3 linked regions of the Cricetulus griseus genome follow. The protein of the gene in region 1 binds, or shares a complex with, the protein of each later gene. Links are inferred from orthologs where the notes say so. Each region holds a gene or a part of one and is shown on either strand. Other genes may lie near its edges.

Region 1 (3,510 bases):
GACCACGGACAGCAAGATCCTGCAGGAGTGAGTGCGGGGCTGACAGGAGCAGGCCACGTGTCCTGGACAGTGCAGCCTGGGATGCCAGCTCCCCACTTGACAGGGAGACCAGGGAAAGCTGCCACTCTGCTTTTCTGGTGGGGTGGGGTCAGTGGGTGGCCCAGGGCTCAGTCCCTTCCAGGTGCCCACAATGCTGACTACTTGACTCCCCGTTCCCACCCTACACCAGCACCTTGCCTCTGAAAGTAAATGTGTACAGCCCACTCACCATAGCCAGCCACACCATACCTAGTGAGAGGCCGCTCCCGGGAGCCTGCTGATGTGGGTACTTCCAGTGGTTGGGCCTTCCCTGCTCCATAGCCCCACCCCGGTGTCAAGGCCCAACATTGCATGTTCCCCTCTATAACTGAGTGGGTGGCCCCATAGGTACATCACTCAGGAAGGCCACAAGCTGGAAACCGGGGCCCCTCGCCCCCCGGCCACTGTCACCAATGCTGTGTCCTGGCGCTCGGAGGGCATCAAGTACCGGAAGAACGAAGTGTTCCTGGACGTCATTGAGGCGGTTAACCTCTTGGTAGGCCAACTTTTCCCTTCCTTTCCTAACTTGCCGCTTTTCCAGGGTGAAAGTCAGAGGGATAAGACTGAAAACCAGCAGAGCTGTCAGGTGTGTAATCCTAGGCCTTGGCAGCAGATGGCAGGGCTTAGTTTTGGCCATTGGAGAGACCCAGCCTCCCTCTCACTTAGAATCTGTAGGGACAACATTGTGGTGGCTTTGAGAGACTGAGGTAGGGGGACCTCGAGTTCTAAACCTTCCAGGTCACACTGTCTAAGAAAAACAAAACTAGAAGGGTCCCCAAGATGACTCAGCAGGTAAAGGGCTTCTCACAAAGCCTGACCATCTGCTTTCCATCCTGGGACCTATGGTGGGAAAAGAGAACTGACTCCTGCAAGTTGCACCTCACACATGTGCACTCACACACACAAATAATAATTACAACTTAAGAAATACAGGGCCAAGGAGATGGCTCAGTGAGCCAAGTTGCTGTTTAAGCCTAATGACCAAGCTCCATCCCCAGAGGCCTGAGAAAGGTGAAAGGAGAGAACACCACAAAGTTGTCTTCTGGCCTCCACATGGAGGTGGTGACACCCGACAAATACTTATCATATACACTCATACACAGTCAAAATAACATTTTAAGTAAAAAAATAGGTATATCAGCAGAATGCTTAGGTACAAGTGTGAGGACAAAAGTTCCGATCCCAGCACACGAGTGGAAGCTGAGTGGGGTGGTGTACACTGTAACCCCAGCACTGATGGTTAAGGACAGGGTAGCCCAGCCAAATGAGATCTCCAACTCAGTAAGAGACCCTGCCTCAAACAAAGGAGGGGGAATCATAGGGCAAGATACTTGATGTGAAACTGTGGCCTCCAGGCGCTCACACACAGGCATGTGCACACATGTAAAACCAAACTCATAAAGCATTATAAAGCTGGAAAGCCAGCTCTGTTACCAAGAGACCCCAAAAGATCACATATCCCAAGACTGCTACTTTTCTAGAATGCTGAGATCTTGGGTGGCTTGTGCTTTTGGGTTGTGTGTTCCTTGCTTGGTGTTTGGTGTTTGTGGTAGTAGGTGTGGACCCCAGGAGCTCTGTGCACAGGGTGTATTAGTTACTTGTCTGACTGTCACAAAATATCTGACAGGTGCAACTTCAGGGACAAAGGGTTCATTCTGCATCACAGCCTGTCACAGTTGGGAAGTTTGATGACAGGAGTATAGGCAGCTGTCACATGGTGTCCACAGTCAGGAATCAGATCGAAGAAGGCTGCGGTTCTGCTTGCTTCCTTCCTTTCACTCATCCAGAACTGCAGCTTGTGGGAAGGGGCCCTCACATGCTGGGTGGGCCTTCATAACTCAGTTAACCCAATCTAGAGACTCCCAGACCTGCCTCTACCCAGAGGTCTGTCTCCTGGGTGACTCTAGAGCTGTCAGGTGAACAGTCAAAAGTTACCATCACATCAGGCAAAACATTTTCATGGTGTGTGTGTATGTGCGTGCGTGCATTCAGGGGTGTATGTATGTGTATTTGTACATGTATGTATGTATGTACTTGTGTGTATCTGCATGAAGGGTGTGTATATGTGTAGTGTGTGTGTGTGTGTGTGTGTGTGTGTGTGTGTGTGTGTGTGTACCCACAGAGGCCAGTAAAGGAGTAGGGTCCACTGAAGTTGCAGTCACTGTTGTAAGCCTCCTGACATGAGTGCTGGGAACCTGGTCCCAGTGGGTTTTTTTTATTAGGTCTTGGATAGTGTATGCTCTTACAACCTGTTTCCTTTGGTTTGGTTTGTTTATTGTAGTTTGGCTTTTGTAAAAGGGTCTCACTATGTAGCCCTGGCTGGCCTGGAATTCTCAGAGATCCATTTGCTTTTGCCCCCAAAGTGCTGGGGTTAAAGCTGTGCACCTCCATACCTGGCCTTGGTTTTGTTTTGTTCTAGTACAAGGTCTTTCTATTTAGCCCTGGCTGGCATGGAACTCATGGAAATCTCTGAGCTAAATGAGATGTCTCTGCCTCTTTATTCAAAGCAAAAGAATTGAGCATGATGCTAAATACTGATGCTGACAGTCTTTTTCTCTAGTGAGCCAACTGAGCAGATGGTGAGAAGACAGAAAGGGGAACAGCCTGAGCTTGAAGCATCTGGCACTAGTACAGAGAGTCCACATTGAGTAAGACAGACAGCACTACCATACTTGAACACACAGACATCTGCCTGCCTCAGGTTCCCAGTGCTGGGACGACAGGAGTGTACCCCCACGCCTGCTGGCTCTTCCTCTATCACTGCACTTCCCTTTGTATTAGTTGCTTTTCTCCTGCTATGGTAAAACACCGTGACCAGGGCAGCTTATTAAGAGAGAGTTTACTGGGCGTATGGTTTCTAGAGGGTTAGGGTCCATAATGTCAGGGCCAGCATGGCAAGTGGCAGACATGGTGTCTGGAGCTGAGCGCTGAGCCCTCTGGCTGCAAACATGAAACAGACAGTGTGAACAGGGAATGGCATGAGGCTTTGAAACCTGAAAGCCCATCCCCACCATTCTCCAGCAAGACCACACCTTCTAAGTAAGCCCCCCTGAACAGCACCAACGGGGGACCATGTTCAAATGCCTGAGGCTGAGGACGGCATTTCTTTCAGACCACCACACCTTGTCCTTCTACTTGGAATCTGCCCACATCTTAATCAAAGTGAGTTCTGGTAGGAGCATCATTTTTTTGTTTGTTTGGTTTTGGTTTTGGTTTTGTTTTCCGAGACAGGGTTTCTCTGTGTGGCTTTGAAGCCTATCCTGGCACTCGCTCTGGAGACCAGGCTGGCCTCGAACTCACAGAGATCTGCCTGCCTCTGCCTCCTGAGTGCTGGTATTAAAGGCGTGCGCCACCAGTGCCCAGCAGGAGCATCATTTTTAAAACCTAACCTGAGACGGTGCCTAGTAGCACCCATCTGTCTTTCCAGAAACT
Region 2 (4,159 bases), on another chromosome or scaffold:
TTTATTTATTTATTTATTTATTTATTTATTTATTAAGACACCCTCTCTCTTTACATAACTCAGGCTGGCTGTGAACTCTCTTGACTAATCCTCTTGCCTCTGGTTCCCCAGGGATCAAATTATAGGCACACAAAAGTATGCCGGGCTAATCTGGTTTATTTGTTTGTGTGTGTGTGATTTTATTGTTTGTTTGGCTGTTTTGTTGTTTGGGGTTTTGTTTTTTGTTTTGACACAGTGCCTCAGCCCAGAATGTGAACTTGTTATGTAGCCAAGGATAACTTTGAACTCTGATTCTGATCTGTCTACATCTGCTTTCCAAACTACAGTATTACAGGTGTATACCCTCACATCCAGTTACACACACACACACACACACACACACACACTATATATATATGTATTATATATAAACAAAAAAAGACACTTGCATCTAATAAGTTCTCAACACTAAAGCTCTATACTGTTTTACTTTTTTGGTTTTGTTTTGTTTCTCGAAACAGGGTTTCTCTGTGTATCCATGGATGTCCTGGAACTCGCTCTGGAGACCAGGCTGGCCTTGATGCCTCTGCTTCCCGAGTGCTGGGATTAAAGGCATGTGCCACCAACGCCCGGGTATTTAAAATTTTTAAGGTTACATTTCATATATGTATTTTGTGTTGCGTGGGAGCATGTACAAACCAGGGTACTTGACTGTGTGGATGTCAGGACAGCTTGCAGGGTCAGTCATTCCCTTTCACCTTCTATGGGGGGGGGGGCATCTCTATGATTGGAGCCATCACACCGGCACTGTTTTGTGTCACTTTGCTTAAGATAGGCTCTCTCGAGCACGCCACTTAGCTGAGGCTGAACTTGAGCTACAATTTGCTCCTGTCTGTCTGCCTTCAAAGCGTTGGAATCACAGGTGTACACCACCGCGCCTGCCTTGCTTGTTTGGGGACAGAATATTGTTGTGTAGCCCTGAGCTGATCTTGAACTCTGTTCCCGCACCACCCCGCTTTGAGTGATGTTTTCCTCCTTTTCTGCACACCGTGTTCAGCTCCCGGAATCATCCTTGCTTCTTCATAAACTCTAAAGATCGAGCATCCACCTCTCACCCTTTTCCCGCCTTTCCCCCCCTACAAATGCTCCAGAGCTCAAGGCCCTCGTTGTCCCCTACCTCCGCCCTTCCCATCCTCCAATCAGCCCACCAGGACAGCCTTGTTACCATGACAACCGAGCTTCTGCAAAGCTGAAGTCAAGGACCTGGTTGCCATGGTTTCCGCTTCTCCGCCTTCAGCCCCTCCCGCCTCTGGGTGGGACCGGGAGGGGGAGAGCGCGGCAGCGCTGGCGCCTGCGCAATGCGGCCGCGCGGGGGAGCCGGCGAGGCCGGGGGGCGGGGCTTCAGGCGGAGAGGGAGGGAAAAGAAAAGAATCCGACGGGCCGCGGAGCGGGCTCCTACGGTGGCCGGAGAGGGACGTGCCGGGCCGGAGGCTGCAGGATGGTAGGCAGTGCTGAGAGGGAGGGGACGGGGGACCCGAGGGGCGTGGGCTGTACCTGCGGGGGTCCGGAGGGGGCAGCGTTTGGTGGGAGTCGCCCTGTCTTCCCTGTGGTCCGCTGAGGATCCACTTCCCGGAGCGGCTGGGCGAGCCGACCTCGGGAGCTGGAAATGGCACTCGGGACAGGGGCGGGGAGGAGTCTCGTTGGTTGGGCTGCAGGGTGGCGGGACTGTCCCGAGCAGGGTCAGCGTTCGGGACACGGGGTCCTGTCCTGGAGACGCCCCGGGCGCCGTGGCGGGGGAGCCACCCGCGGAGAGGGGCCCCGGGATCCCCGGGGGTCGCGGTGGCCGAGCCCCCTCCGGGAGGCCCGCGCCTGAGCGCACGGTGCGGCAGGAGGGAGGCGGGAGGGAGGCAGGGGCGGTTTCCGGGTCTCCACAGCTGACCCCCGACTCCGTAGTCGGGGAGCCTGGGCTCTGGAGGACGCGCCGACTCTGCCGTTCCCACCTTCCCACCACCGCGGTCCAGTTTCCTTCCCCAGCCCAGGCCTTCCGTCTTCCTGCCCGCACTCGGCTCCCTCAGTTCTTCACATCCCCTGGCCCCCACCAGCCACCGCCCCTGCTTTCTGGGGGTCTTTGTTCCTTTTAATTGATGGCCTGGAAGCTGAATTGCCGCACACACCCAGAGATTCCAGCCCTGGCCGTGTTCACAGATCTGTTTGCTGGGAATTGAGTTCAGGTTTTGGAAGCAAGAGCCCCCTGCAACTGGGAAGAAACTAGATCCAGGAAGCAATGAGGACTCTCATTCCACAGACATTCCCTAGGAGAGCCATCGGGGTCACTGGACTCTCTGTGAGGGACTTCGTGATCTGGTGTCTGGGACCCGTAACCCAGGCACTCAGGAGGATCAGAAAATCAAGGGCAGCCTTGGCTACATATGAAATATAGGTCAGCCTGAGCTACATGAAGCCCTGTCTCAAAAAAAAAAAAAAAAGAAAGAAAGAAAGAGAAGAGGGCCAGAGAGATGGCTCAGCTTCTAAAGGTACTTGACAACCTGAATTCAATCCCTGGAGTCCTCACAGTGGAAGGAGAGAACTGTCCTTAAAAATTTTAAATAGCTGGGCGTTGGTGGCACACACCTTTAATCCTAGCACTATGGAGGCAGAGGCAGGCGGATCTCTGTGAGTTCGAGGCCAGCCTGGTCTCCAGAGCGAGTGCCAGGATAGGCTCCAAAGCTACACAGAGAAACTCTGTCTCGAAAAACCAAAAAAAAAGCAAAGAAAAAAAAAGAATTCCTTAATGCAGGAAAGATGCCTAAGTCATTGAGAGTACTTGCTGCTCTTCCAGAAGAACCAGTTCAGTTCCCAACACGTATATCAGGCAGCTCACAACCTTCTGTAGCTCCTGATCTGATGCCTCTGGCCTGCATGGGCACCTGCACTCATCTGCACATACCCAGTATATAGACACACAACATAAACTTACACATAACTAAAAATAGTAGTGGGCTAGAGAGAGGGCTCAGTGCTTAAGAGCATGTGTTGCTCTTGCTGAGGACCTGGGTTTGGTTCCTGTCACCCACATGGTGACTTATAACCATCTATAACCCTGGTTCTGGGGTATCAACAGGCATGTGTGTGACACATACATGTATGCATGTGAGTATTGAGTATTTCATACACATAAAGTAAAATAAATCTTTAAAAAATAAGAAAAGCAAATCTTAAAAGAATTCTATAAGGAAGGTAATTTTATGGTTTCTGTCTTTCGAGTAAAGAAACTGAGGTTCAAAGACTTTTTTTTTTTTTTTTTTACAAAGCCAGTAAGATAGATCAGCAGACAAAGGCACTTGCTGCCAAGGCTTGGGTATCTAAATTTGATTCCTGGAGCTCACATTGTAGAAGCAGAGATCCAGTTCCCAAAAGCTATCCTCTGAACTACACACACACACACACACACACACACACACACACACACACACACACACGTAATAAAATGTTTTTGTGCTTATTATTTGTGTGGATGTGTGCTTGCCATGGCAAGAGTGTAGAGGTTAAAGGACAGCTCGTGGGAGTCAGTTCTCTTCTGTAATTTGGGTCATGGGTATTGAACTCAGGCTTAATAGCAAGCACCAATTTAGCTATCTTGCTGGCCCAGTATAAATTAATTTGCCTGAGGTTGTATTCAGCTACTAGGGCCAGGATTGGAACCCACACAGCAGGCTTGACTTTCCCTCAGGAAGAACATTCTTCTTCTCTACCCAGCTGGGACAGAAGTTTTGAAGAAGGTAGTGGTGAATACCGCTGAGTCTGGGGCTTTGCGCTCATGCAAGGAAAGAGGCTCCAAACCCATTCTCTGCCCCTCAGCTCTGGTCCTTCCTCCCTTCCAGATGCGATTCATGCTACTGTTCAGCCGGCAGGGGAAACTTCGGCTGCAAAAATGGTACCTGGCCACCTCGGACAAGGAGAGGAAGAAAATGGTCCGGGAGCTCATGCAGGTTGTGCTGGCTCGAAAGCCCAAGATGTGCAGCTTCCTGGAGTGGAGGGACCTCAAAGTTGTCTATAAAAGGTGACACTCCATCCATTTATTGTTTTCAGTGTACATGAATTGCTCTGGAGTTCACACTGGGTTAAAACGACTGAGAAATAACTCTGTCTCTCTGAAGTCGGGGAGAGCTCCAAGGAGCCG
Region 3 (4,164 bases), on another chromosome or scaffold:
TGGCCTTTATGAGATAAAATTATTCTGCAGCTGAAGCTAGCCTCCAACTCACGGTCCCTCTGCCTAGCCTCTTACAGGTAGTGCGGCCACCACTGCTGCCTAAAAAGCCCCCCCCCCCTTTTTTTTTTTAAGGAGACAGGGTTTCTCTGTATGGCTTTGGAGCGTGTCCTGGAACTCGCTCTGTAGACCAGGTTGGCCTCGAACTCATAGAGATCCACCTGCCTCTGCCTCCTGAGTGCTGGGATTAAAGGCATGTGCCACCACTGCCCGATAAGTCTTAAGTCTATTTGTAAAACTGGGTTACTTACTTGGATTCAAGAGATTGCTTACAGGGTTGGGTTGTACATATGAAGGTGCCTTATGAACAATGGCATACCAATATTTAATAAAGAAATGTGATCATGCCCTTGGCGTCCTTTCTTTCCAGGCACTTGGCATGCCCCAGAAATACAAGGTCAAAACTGTACCGCTAGGCATACCCAGTTCAACGTCTGTAAAGTATTTTGAAATCCTTGCATAAAAAACGAATGCCTAAGGAAAAAGGTGCAACTTCCTGTTTATGACGCCAATGTCTCGAACCTAGGATTTGTGCTTAGTTCCCTGTCTTTGGCGTTCAGTCTAGTACTGTGTTTTGTTGACACCCGGGACGACTTTGTTGCCAATCTATTGGAAAGATTTTATTCTAGGTAGGTCACCTTTCCTTTAAATGGGCCAAGATATCAAGGATCTCTCGATTCACATGGAAAAGACTTTTGTCACAAGTTAGCAATTATTTATCACGTCCGGAACTGTCTAGCTAGACTTTCTTTGGCTCAGGTCATTAGTTCATTTAATGGTAGATTGGAAGCCAATTTTGGAGGAGTTTTGGCTGTCATTTATCCAGATTCTCTTTTCCCACAGGAGGGAACTGAAAGGTTGGCGAGATTAGGTGACTAAAGCACAGGGGTGGTGATGTGCGTGGAACCCATTCTTCTGCTTCATCTTCTACCTGTTTTCGTAAAATTTTTATGAAGATACAATAAAACCACAGACTCCAAGACCACTTGGAGCATGCTTCTGAAGTTGAACACAAAGCTAAGGACTCAAGGTGACGGGGACGATTTAGGAATTCTTTAGGACTAAATCCTAGTTAAGTGTGCTGCGTTTCCACCTGCCTCTCCCTCAACCTTCTCCAGCTACCTTGCCTAGCCCCGCCCCCTCAGGTGGCCCCACCGTTTCCTGGTAGCACAGCTTCCTTCCCCAACCCTGCTTCCAAGTGGAACCAAAGTGCGCTGACTCTGGGGACCGCCGGATCTTTCTAGTTAAGACTCTTCGCAGCGGTGACTCGGCAGCCGCGTCTAGCGTCATCAGTGACAGCCCCGACCCTTGCTACGCTTTGCGTCGCTCTGCCAGGCGCAGTCGCCTCCTCCTTGGCAAATAGTCCTCGGCAGGGTCCGAGTTTTCGGGTCGTCCGAGGTGGGAAACAGGAGAGGTTGCAGTTCAAGGGGCGCGGAGTTGACGAGGAGAGGGAGCTGAGGAGCGCCGTCTTCTCGAGAGCGCGTGAAGTGAGTTAGAAACTCCCTCCCTTCCCGGGATCCCTCCGCCTGCAGTAGCGGTGGTGAGGCCGAGGGAGCCGCCATTTTGGATGTTCGGTTCCTGCTGCCACTGCTGCCGCCGCCCCCGAAGCTGCTGGTTTCATTCGAGGTTTCGGGCCGGTGAGTGTCACTCGCGGCACTGAGAGCAGGTTGTGTCTTTGGCTCCGCCGCGGCTGCGAGCGTTTGGCTGGAAACCTCCTGTCAGTCCCAGGGGTCCGGTCTCAGCCTGTGGGGGGTGAGGAGGACCCAGGTTGGGCAGGTGGGACCGGGGAGCCCCAAGGCTTGCTCGGACTTACTGAGGGCCGACCGACCCTCAGAGGCTTCTGAGCAGGAGCTTCGGTGCGCGGGCGCTCCCTCTAGTGTGGCGTTGTCCAGCCGGTGCAGGCCTCCTTGAACCCATTGACTTTATCAGGCTGCGAGCCTCCTTTGAAAGCCGGTTCAGGGAACCTCGGATTTAGCGGGGCGGGCCCCACCCCCGCGTGTCCTCTCCGAGTCTCTTATCAGTGTTCTTGTGTCGTGGACTCGGGTCAGATGTGAGAACTCTCAGCATTTCCACATGCAGGGGTAATGCCTGTGCCTGCGATGCCGTCTGCTCAGAACTGGACATCGGCCTCGCCTCCTTCTAACCCTTCGACTAACTTCTGGTCTAAATTTTTCCGCCTCCCCCCCGCCCCTGCTTTTTAAAAACGTACCTGCGACTGCACCTTCTTCTCCAACTCTTGGTTCTGCGGACGTCCGTTTCTAGTAATTCTCCGGATCTTTCTCATTGCCTGGAACTGTGGGTTATGCTTCCCAGTTAGGGCTTGGTGTTGGAGAGCCGTCGAACCACCTAGGGTGTATTTCAGTAGTAAATGGGTTTAAAGCAGGCAGAGAGGCTTTAGGTGGGAAGGAGCTGTCAAAATACTTTCTGGATTTCCTTTCTGCCCTGAACGCTGAGCTTTCAGGCACTTACTGATACATATTTTTTTTTCTTTATTCTTTTGGCGTTGTAAGTGCTTGAGCACGGAAATCTGCCCTTGGAGAATATTAATCTGACGTAGGTAGAAAGGAAAATAACTTTTTTGGTTCCTATAGGGATTAGTTAACAGAAGAGCGAGCTGAATGATCTCTTAGTGACTTCAACCTTCAGGTGTTTGTATAGCAATGATCTTTGCTGACTTCATATGTTGACTTTTCTCAGGGTAGTTGAATTTTAAGCGTCCATTTCCACCGTTGCCTGTAGTATTTGTCAGACTTTATACCTCTTAAGTTTTGATTTGAAACCTGTGGATCCTCGAAGTACTGATAGCCTCATTACTCTAATTCTGTTTTTAATGTCTGTTTGCAATCTATCGTGCTTTAATAAAAAAAAAATTAACAATAATTCACCAGTTATTTCCTACATTTCAGGTTAGGTGAGTGTGGTTGAGTCACCCCTATTTTATCTCAGCCTAGGTTTTTACAACTGCAAAAGAGAAATAACTTATTTGAGTTCACATTTAAGTGACTTAAACCTAAGTTTTTTTATTTGTTTGTTTGTTTTTTGTTTTTTGGTTTTTCGAGACAGGGTTTCTCTGTGTATCTTTGGAGCCTATCCTGGCACTCACTCTGTAGATCAGACTGGCCTCGAACTCACAGAGATCCACCTGCCTCTGCCTCCCGAGTACTGGGATTAAAGGTGTGCGACACCAACGCCCAGCTTAAACCTAAGTTTATAACTTGAACCGAGTCATATCTCTTGGTACTTCTAAAATTTATGTTGGTGCTTTATTTATTTATTTATTTATTGATTGATTGATTGATTGGTTTTTCGAGACAGGGTTTCTCTGTAGCTTTGGAGGCTGTCCTGGCCCTCACTCTATAGACCAGGCTGGCCTCAAAATCACAGAGATCCACCTGCCTCTGCCTCCTGAGTGCTGATACTAAAGGCGTGCACCACTGGCTTGATGCTTTATTTTTAAAATCTTTTGAAGTTTTATTTTATTTATTTACGTATGAGTGCTTTGCCTGCATGTATATATGTGCATCACTTGCATTACCGTTTCGGGTGGAAGAGGGTATTTGGATTTCCTGAAAGTGGAATTTCAGGCAGTTGTGAGCTGCTCTGTGGGTGCTAGAAACTGATTCCATGTCCTCTACAAGAGCAGTACATGCTTTTAGCCTCTGAGCCATCTCTCCAGCCTCTCTTTATTTTTAAGCTTTTGAAGTGAGACTGCAGGTAAATCTTTATAGGTCATACAGTGTCAAAGAAGACACTATTTCCAGTGTAAATATTCTGTGCTCTTGTTACTTGTTTTAAGAAACTCCTTCAGAACTATATTAATTACTGTTAGATGTGAATTCTGTGTTTTGCTTTGAAGTTGTTCAGTTTTCTTTTGCTTTTAAAAGAACTCAGTGTCTTGTACTTTACTTCAGTGATGTCCTGTTTTTGAGTTCCCTTTTTTGAACAGGTATTGAAAGAGCTATCAAAAGTTATTTAACTCAGTAGTATTGTGGTATAACATACTGGGATTTAAATGTCATTCATTCTTTGATGGTTTGCAGTTTACTGGGAGAAAGTACACTTTTGCCAAACAAATATTAGTAAAGTACTGTTCTGTGTATCGTTGAT

The links. The genes of interacting proteins can lie anywhere in the genome.
Region 2: the proteins of Ap1m1 (region 1) and Ap1s1 are in contact, whole or in part, in a crystal structure (PDB 1W63), measured with the Mus musculus proteins. The link is inferred for Cricetulus griseus from reciprocal best matches to the Homo sapiens genes AP1M1 and AP1S1. Residues at the interface, in NP_031482.1 of Mus musculus: Lys12, Glu31, Asn186, Asn188, Val189, Leu190, Glu232, Glu234, Asn270, His272, Arg421; in NP_031483.1 of Mus musculus: Lys26, Lys30, Arg33, Glu34, Gln37, Lys43, Glu51, Trp52, Arg53, Asp54.
Region 3: the proteins of Ap1m1 (region 1) and Ap1g1 are in contact, whole or in part, in a cryo-EM structure (PDB 7R4H), measured with the Mus musculus proteins. The link is inferred for Cricetulus griseus from reciprocal best matches to the Homo sapiens genes AP1M1 and AP1G1. Residues at the interface, in NP_031482.1 of Mus musculus: Ser289, Asn318, Asp319, Ala320, Asp321, Ser322, Trp334, Pro336, Glu337, Asn338, Ser339, Gly361, Leu362, Pro363, Ser364, Val365, Glu366, Ala367, Glu368; in NP_001288140.1 of Mus musculus: Arg24, Glu25, Gln28, Lys29, Ala32, Arg35, Ser36, Arg39, Glu40, His64, Phe65, Gln67, Leu68, Gln97, Val99.

Annotation. Positions count from the first base shown.
Region 1 is NW_023276806.1:247,005,753-247,009,262, forward strand, and holds part of Ap1m1 (AP-1 complex subunit mu-1), read left to right. Parts: coding exon 1-27; intron 28-426; coding exon 427-574; intron 575-3,510. UniProt on the Homo sapiens protein: Subunit of clathrin-associated adaptor protein complex 1 that plays a role in protein sorting in the trans-Golgi network (TGN) and endosomes.
Region 2 is NC_048597.1:115,987,419-115,991,577, reverse strand, and holds the start of Ap1s1 (AP-1 complex subunit sigma-1A), read left to right. Parts: upstream 1-1,352; 5' UTR 1,353-1,477; coding exon 1,478-1,480; intron 1,481-3,860; coding exon 3,861-4,039; intron 4,040-4,159. UniProt on the Homo sapiens protein: Subunit of clathrin-associated adaptor protein complex 1 that plays a role in protein sorting in the late-Golgi/trans-Golgi network (TGN) and/or endosomes.
Region 3 is NC_048596.1:186,137,778-186,141,941, forward strand, and holds the start of Ap1g1 (AP-1 complex subunit gamma-1), read left to right. Parts: upstream 1-1,357; 5' UTR 1,358-1,544; intron 1,545-1,550; exon of another isoform or gene 1,551-1,694; intron 1,695-4,164. UniProt on the Homo sapiens protein: Subunit of clathrin-associated adaptor protein complex 1 that plays a role in protein sorting in the late-Golgi/trans-Golgi network (TGN) and/or endosomes.